Macaca mulatta: one gene and its partner. The protein of the gene in region 1 purifies or fractionates together with the protein of each later gene. This does not show direct contact. Links are inferred from orthologs where the notes say so. Each region holds a gene or a part of one and is shown on either strand. Other genes may lie near its edges.

Region 1 (3,752 bases):
AGCTATTCGGGAGGCTCAGGTGAGAGGATGGCTTGAGCCCAGGGGGCAGACATTGCAGTGAGCTGAGTTCTCACCACTGCACTCCAACCTGGGCGATAGAGCTGGACTTTTTTTTGTCTCAAGAAAAAAAAAGTGATTCAGTTTCGAAAGCTACATAACATTTTCTGCCCTTTGACAAATTTTTACCAAAAGTTGGTAAAAACTGTAGAATGTTTACCAACCCAGTTGTAGAATTTTTGCAAAATGAGATCACACTATAATATATATGTTTCTTCAACTTTTTTCACTTGTTTAAATGTACATTCATTCCCAACTTTTTTTTCACTTTCAGTTTTTTTTTTCTCTTACATATTGGACAGCCTTGCATGTCAGTTTCATTATTTTTTAACACTTCGGTATGGATGCCCATAGTATGAATATACCTTACCATCTCCTTTTCAGGGTGATTTAGTATTAGCGATGCATAGTAGGACCATTTTAATGCTGAATAGGGCTATTTTCTATATCTTAATTGGGGGCTTCACTATTGAGGCTGGGCATGGTGGCTTATGCCCGTAATCCTATCACTTGGAGAGGCCAAGGTAAGAGAATCACTTGAGCCCAGGAGTTCGAAATCAGTCTGGGCAGCATAGTGGGACACTGTATATACCAAAACAAGCCAACAAACAAAACTAGCTGTGTGTAGTGGTGTCTGCATGTAGTCCCAGCTCCTTGGGAGGCTGAGGTGGGAAGATTGCTTGAGCCCGGGAGTTTGAGAGCAGCCTGGGGAATATAGTGGACCCAGTTTCTACAAAAAAAAAAATTGGGGATTCCTCAGTTTGTAGCTTAAAGTCAAGTTCTTTAGCTGGAGGTGAGACAATCATCATGGTAAGCTGGAGCTCCAATCTTGGAGCATTTTTCCCCCTTTGAAGTTTACTTTTAGAAACTCAAGATACTGAATTACAGTTTCCTACTGCCTTTTTTTTTTTTTTTTTTTTTTTTTTTTGAGACGGAGTCTCACTCTATCGCCCAGGCTGGAGTGCAGTGGCATGATCTCGGCTCACTGCAAACTCCGCCTGTTGGGTTCACACCATTCTCCTGCCTCAGCCTCTGGAGTAGCTGGGACTACAGGTGCCTGCCACCACGCGCGGATATATATATGTATACATATATATGTATATATCTCGTTTTGTTTTGTTTTGTATTTTTAGTAGAGGCAGGGTTTCACCGTGTTAGCCAGGATGGTCTCGATCTCCTGACCTTGTGATCCGCCCACCTCGGCCTCCCAAAGTGCTGGGATTACAGGTGTCAGCCACTGCACCCGGTCTCTTCATCTTTATTTATGCATGCATAATGTGGTTTTTGGTTTTGTTTTGTTTTGTTTTGTTTTGTTTTTTGAGACGGAGTCTGGCTTTGTTGCCCGGGCTGGAGTGCAATGGTGTGGTCTCGGCTCACTGCAACCTCTGCCTCCCTGGCTCAAACCATCCTCCCACCTCAGCTTCTCAAGTAGCTGGCACCACAGGCATGTGTCACCACGCCCACCTAATTTTTTTTGTATTTTTAGTAGAGACAGAGTTTTCATGTTGCCCATGCTGATCTGAAACTTGGGAGTGCAAAGTGATGGTCCACCTCAGCCTCCCTCAGGATTACAGGTGTGAGCCACCACGCTCCACCCATGATGAGCTTTTTGTTTGTTTTACTGTGTGCTTTTGCTTTTCTCCATTTTCAAGATCAGTTATTGTATGGTTGGCATGCCTCTAAAAATGTTTTTCTTTCCTCCCTCTTTTCTTCAATTCTTAAAACTTTCTTTCTTTTTAGAAAACCTGTAATGAAGCATTATTCTCTGGGTTTTCTTCTCTTTCTATTTTACTATTGCACAGCCTAGATTTTATGTGAAAGGTTGGGCTAGGCATGGTAGCTCACACCTGTTAGCCCAGCACTTTGGGAGGCCAAGGCAGGCATATCACTTGAGGTCAGGAGTTCGAGACCATCCTGGCTAACATGGTGAAACTCCATCTCTACTAAAAATATGGAAATTAGCTGGGCATGATGGCACACGCCTGTAACCCCAGCTACTCAGGAGGCTGAGGTGGGAGAATCACTTGAACCCGGGAGGCGGAGGTTGCAGTGAGCCAAGATGGTGCCACTGCACTTCAGTCTGGACAACAGAGTAAGTGAGACTCCATCTCAAAAAAAAAAAAATTTAGATTTTAAAGATTATTTCTCAGAGTCTGGTGATTGATACTTTAATCAGGGTTGGTGGCTTTTATACGTTTTACCTAAATGATCACTTTTCTCTGCTGCACATAACAGAATGTGGTTTTTGGCTTGCTATAAGGAGACTAGTTTAAATGCTAGTATAGAAAACTTTTAACAACATCCTAGATTTGGAACTTGTCTGTGAGCACACAGCCTGTCATGAATAGGAGCAAACCTCTAGAAGAGTTATTTTAGAGTGGAAGCGGATATCCTGATTTAGTCAAATAAAATAGCAGCCTTGTTATTAATGGGAAATCTGCAATAATCAGGGTTTCAGCCCCATCAGCATAGTCAGGAGTCTGGTGAGATTATTTGCCAGGGTGGTGTAGGTCTAGTTTTCTTTGCGCCCTTGTTTGGGACTACATTTGGCCTGTTACAAGGTCCTCACTAACTTGTGGGCTCTGATTCTTCCTATTTGAGTTCTTCCTATCCAAGATCCGGTCCCATGTGGCTACTTGTTCCAAATACCAGAATTACATCATGGAAGGTGTGAAGGCCACCATTAAGGATGCATCTCTTCAGCCAAGGTAAATGACTCAGTCTCCCCTTAGGTGGAGGTCATCTCTTGCTATTAATACAAAGAGGTTGGACACCTTGCATGGTCAGGGGTTTAGTTGTATGAATTGTTATGCTGGCTAAAGCTGATACAAGTATTTTGGGAGGAGTATGCAAGGGAGGACTCTGGTGTTCACTTCAGATGTTAGCTGAGCTATTCTTTTTTTCTTTTTTGAGATGGAGTCTCGCTCTGTTGTCTGGGCTGGAGTGCAGTCGCGCAATCTCAGCTCACTGCAACCTCTGCCTCCCGGGTTCAAGAGATTCTCCTGCCTCAGTCTCCCGAGTAACTGGGATTACAGGCACCTGCCAGTAATCCTGACTAAATTTTATATTTTTTAGTAGAGACAGGGTTTCGCCATGTTGGCCAGGCTAGTCTTGAACTCCTGACCTCAGGTGATCCTCCTGCCTTGGCCTATTGGGATTACAGGTGTGAATCACCATGTCCGGCTAGCTGAGCTATTGTCTTCAAAACACTTGATCTGAGTCTAAAGTGATCATCAGCGTCCTTGTCGTTACACATTCGGTGAGCTTTGCTCCTTTTGGGAGTGTACTGTGGTTGAAGTTGAATGGAAAGGTACTCACAGAAAAATTTTCTTTTTTCCTGTCTTTCACCTTCCAGGAATGTTCCAAACCGTTATACCTTTCCTTGTCCTTACTGTCCTGAGAAGAACTTTGATCAGGAAGGACTTGTGGAACACTGCAAATTATTCCATAGCACGGATACCAAATCTGTGGTAAGAGTAACCTTTTTTTTTTTTTCCTCTTAAACTCTATTATGGGAAAGGATCAAGCTTGGAGAAAAATGATGGGATTAGTAAAATGAACTCCTGTGTGCCCTACACCTAGATTCACAGATTGTTAACATTTTACCATATTTGCTTAACCATGCTCTATAATACACACTTTTTGCTGACCACTTGGGAATAAGCTACAGATACCATGACTTTTTTGCACCCTGA
Region 2 (4,376 bases), on another chromosome or scaffold:
GGTAGCTGGGATTACAGGCACATGCCATCACACCTGGCTAATTTTTATATTTTTAGTAGAGATGGGGTTCACCATGTTGGCCAGGCTGGTCTTGAACTCCTGACCTCAAGTGATCCACCCACCTCGGCCTCCCAAAGTGCTGGTATTACAGGTGTGAGCCACCGCACTCGGCCTAACATTTTAAATTAAAAATTAACATTTTAGGCTGGGTATGGTGGCTTACTGTAATCCCAGTGCTTTAGGAATCTGAGGTGGGAGGACTGCTTGGGGCCAGGAGTTCAAGACCAGCCTGGGCAACATATGAGACAGTGTCTCTAAACAAATGTAAAAATTATCTGGGCATGGTGGCACGTGCCTCTAGGCCCAGCTACTTGGGAGGCTAAGGTGGGAGGTTCGCTTGAGCCCAGAAGTTCCAGGTTGTAGTGAGCTATGATTATATCGTTATACTACAGCCTGGGTGACAGACCAAGACCCTGTCTCTAAAACAATAACAACAAAAACAAAATTAACATTTTATACAATGAAAACATTAAAATCACAATTAAAATCAAAGAGAAAACCCCTCATTCCATTTCTAATTAAATTCATTTTCATTCGTCCATGTTACTATCTAGTCTTTATCCATACACTTTTTTTTATTTACATTTTTGTAGTAATACTACAGGTAAGATTTTCTTTCTTTTTTTTTTTTAAAGATGGAGTCTCGCTCTGTTGCCCAGGCTGGAGTGCAGTGGCATGATCTCGGCTCACTACAACCTCCACCTCCCGGATTCAAGCGATTCTTCTGCCTCAGCCTCCCGAATAGCTGGGATTACAGGCGCCCGCCACCACACCTGGCTAATTTTTACATTTTTAGTAGAGACAGGGTTTCACCACGTTGGCCAGGCTGGTCTCAAACTACTGACCTCAAGTGATCCGCCCGCCTTGACCTCCCAAAATGCTGGGATTACAGGCGTGAGCCACTGCGCCTGTCCTATAGTTAAGGTTTTTATATTCATTTTTAGTGAATGTTATACCATAAGTACTCTTCCCCCATAATCCTTCTGCCTCTCATCTTCCCTTTTCCATTTTCCTAGTACCTCCTACTGCCTCCTCTCAACCACCCTTGCGTGTTTCTTCATCTTTCCCCGTGCTTATTAAAAAATGTCCTGTCACACACACACACAGGCTTCTCTTTGTTATTAGACATTTAAAAAATTAATTCTTGATCATTCAACTTGATTTAGACATTACTGTACAGACATCTTTTCTCGTTTAACACCACATCATGGCTGTCTGTCCCTCTAGATCCACACAGGGAGATTTAACACATGCTTAAAGTCTTCATAATAGTCTTTAAAGATTAGCCACACTGTTCCCACTTAACCCTACCTCCCAGGTAGGGTTCCCCCAGTAACACTTTCACACATAACTTATTTACTGTTCCTTTTACTTCTGGAAGATTCCGAGAGGAAAGATCGCTGGGTCAAAGGTCACGTGCGTTTTCAATTTTAATAGCTATTCCTGGATTACTTTCCCAAAGGGTTCTAACAACTCGCATTGCTCTCAACACGTGTGAGAGGGTCCTTTGCTCTGACAGGTCTTCTGAAATACTTGCTCAATCGTTACTTAGCAGGGGATTGTAACGGATTTTTTTCTTTTTCTCTTTTGAGACGGAGTCTAGCTCTGTCGCCCAGGCTGGAGTGCAGTGGCGCGATCTCGGCTCACGGATTTGTTTTTTTAAAGAACATACCCTTTTATATTTAAATGAAGGAACTCATTGATGCACCGAGGCGAAAGGAACATTTAATTAAGCCTGTCTTCCTCTGCGGAGTGATCGCTTTTGTCACTTGTTCGAGGGGTGGGGGCTCCCGTCAGTTGTCCCTGTTTCTGTGAGACGTCTACCGAAGCCCTGGCTTGGCTTTAACCTGGCTTGGCTTTAACCGCTGAGCGGCTTCAACCGGCGGCGTCCAGCTGGCTCCGCCAGCGCTGCCGCCGCCCTCGAGGCTCTCTGACTGAAGGCGCTCGGAGCATCGCGAAATTAGGGGCTCCTGGTCCCTCAAACATCCAAAGAAGCCATTTTCAGGGCCTAGGGACTGGCCCCCCGCGAGCCGCCACAGCCCCCGCCCGCGAGCCGGGCCGAACGCCCGAACTCACGAGCTCCCGAGCTCCCGTCGGGCGGCGGCCTCACAGCTGGGGGCCCTGAGGCGGAAGGCGCAGCCGCTCAGCTGCGGGCCGGGGGCGTGGCGAGGGCGCACAGGTTCTGTTTTTCGCCGGCCCGGGGCCGCTTTCGGTTTCGTTTCCCGCCGGCGCCTCCACTCTGCGAGAGCCGCCCGCCAGCCAGCGTCCGCCGCCGTCCGCGTCGAGCCATACGCGGTCCGACGGGCGCAGGCACAGCGGCCATGGCCCAGGCCGGCGTCGTCGGTGAGGTGACCCAGGTGCTGTGCGCGGCCGGGGGCGCCCTGGAGCTGCCCGAGCTGCGGCGCCGCTTGCGGATGGGCTTGAGTGCCGACGCGCTGGAGCGGCTGCTGCGGCAGCGTGGCCGCTTCGTGGTGGCGGTGCGGGCGGGCGGCGCCGCCGCGGCCCAGGAGCGCGTGGTGCTGGCCGCGTCGCCGCTGCGCCTGTGCCGCGCGCACCAGGGCTCGAAGCCGGGCTGCGTGGGGCTCTGCGCGCAGCTGCACCTCTGCAAGTTCATGGTCTATGGCGCCTGCAAGTTTCTGAGAGCCGGGTAAGGCGCCGCACCGGGAGCGACGGCCGGCAGAGGCCCCGCGCACCCACAAGCACTTCCAGCCCGCTTGGGAGTCCTACTTGAAGTTTGAGCATACAATTCGGTGGCTCTGCCCTGGCCTCGCCCCGTCATACACTAAAGGGAGCGTTTATTGAGCACCTGCTGAGTATCTGGCACAGTGCGAGGGACTCGGGGTCGAGTGGGGTCCTCTAGACGCCTGGGGAGAGAGATTGATTTACATAGAGCGCGGTAGTGCTGGGTGGGAACACCCGGGTGTGGCCGTGTGGGGTAGGGAGGTAGGGAGGCGGTGGCCTAGGGGAGCTCCACGACGCCGCGGGTCCCCCCTTGCCAGCTTTGAGAGCAGACAATGAAGGTTTTCTCTGCCCAGCAGCTGGAAGAGATCTTTAAACCCCGTTCAACCCTATTTATCTGTTTACAAACTGGAAAATGCAAGCTCCCTGCCATCGCCCACAGGTCCTGGGGCACTGGTCCCTGCCCACTCGGTACCCTTCTGTGCCTGGAACACCCCCCCCCCACCCAGCCTGGGTATTTCTGGGAGCCTGAGCATTTCTGGGAGCCTTTGCTCTGCCTGGAGTGCCCTTCCTGCTCTTGGTTGGCCCTGTTTGTTAATCCTTCAGGCCTGAATCTAAAGATCACATCCCATTTGAGGGCTTTTCCTCCCCTTACTCTTGGTCACAGGGAACTGTTTATTTTCCTCATGGCACCCACTTGCCAATAGAATGGAAACTCCCTGAGGGCAGAGGCCTTAGCTGTCTCCCCAGCACTTAGCGTCCATGTTCTGTGCATAGCACGTGGTCAGTGGGATGTGTGGAAGGGATTGCTGAGGTTTATGTCTAAGAATTTGGGCCTCACCCTGAAGGTGATGGGGCGGGTAAAATGGCAGGAGAGAGCAACCATCAGGTTTGCATTTTAGGAAGTCTTAGGTAGTGGTGTGGGTGCCAGTTTAAGGGAGGATGTTGTGGGGAACCACTGGGAAGCTAGTCATGTAGGATAATTCCTTCCTCCCCTGCTCCCTCCTTTCTTGCTTGCTCCCTGGTGTGTGTGTGTCTGTCTGTCTTAATAGAGTAGATATTTCTTGCTCATGTCAGGCCCAGCAGTGAGCATGGGGTGGGGGGCCTTAATCCATACAGTCATTCAGGGATCCAGGCTGACTGACCTCTGCTCTGTGCCCCTCAGCACATGGCTCTTGAGGCCAGCCTAGGTATCCAGTTCCAGGGGGCTGATGGAAAGGGGGTTGCATGGGAGGTTTTTGTGGGCCAGGTCTAGAAGTGGTGGATTTCCTTTCACCCACATCCCATTGACTGGAAGCTGTCTGGTGACCCTGTCTAGATGCAGGGTGGCTGGGAAAGGTAGTCTCTAGGAAGCAGCTGTCTGGAAGTATCCAGATTAGAACTTTCCAAGGGCTATGTGTGAGAAATTTGGGAGAGGTGAGTTGGTGATGGTGTGGTGAGAGGATATCAGGTGACAACTCTTCAGTCTCTGTTCCTACTGTGGCATGGGTGTTGTTCAGTGAGAGAGCAAGAGAGGGTTTTAGTTTGGAAACATGCCCAGGAGGCAGCTATTCAGGTCAGAAGCTTCATAGGAAGGTCAGGGCCCCAGTGTGCTGGGCTGGTTTGGGAGATACTGGGTGGTGTATGTTGTGGCTGCA

The links. Proteins that work in one complex are often made in the same cells at the same time.
Region 2: the proteins of RNF114 (region 1) and PARP12 purify together in Homo sapiens (affinity purification with mass spectrometry; 3 studies listed by BioGRID and IntAct, counting the BioPlex papers as one, with this or other methods). This does not show direct contact. The link is inferred for Macaca mulatta from reciprocal best matches to the Homo sapiens genes RNF114 and PARP12.

Annotation. Positions count from the first base shown.
Region 1 is NC_133415.1:102,783,057-102,786,808, forward strand, and holds part of RNF114 (E3 ubiquitin-protein ligase RNF114), read left to right. Parts: intron 1-2,658; coding exon 2,659-2,765; intron 2,766-3,412; coding exon 3,413-3,527; intron 3,528-3,752. UniProt on the Homo sapiens protein: E3 ubiquitin-protein ligase that promotes the ubiquitination of various substrates. In turn, participates in the regulation of many biological processes including cell cycle, apoptosis, osteoclastogenesis as well as innate or adaptive immunity.
Region 2 is NC_133408.1:179,897,272-179,901,647, reverse strand, and holds the start of PARP12 (protein mono-ADP-ribosyltransferase PARP12), read left to right. Parts: upstream 1-1,538; 5' UTR 1,539-2,381; coding exon 2,382-2,707; intron 2,708-4,376.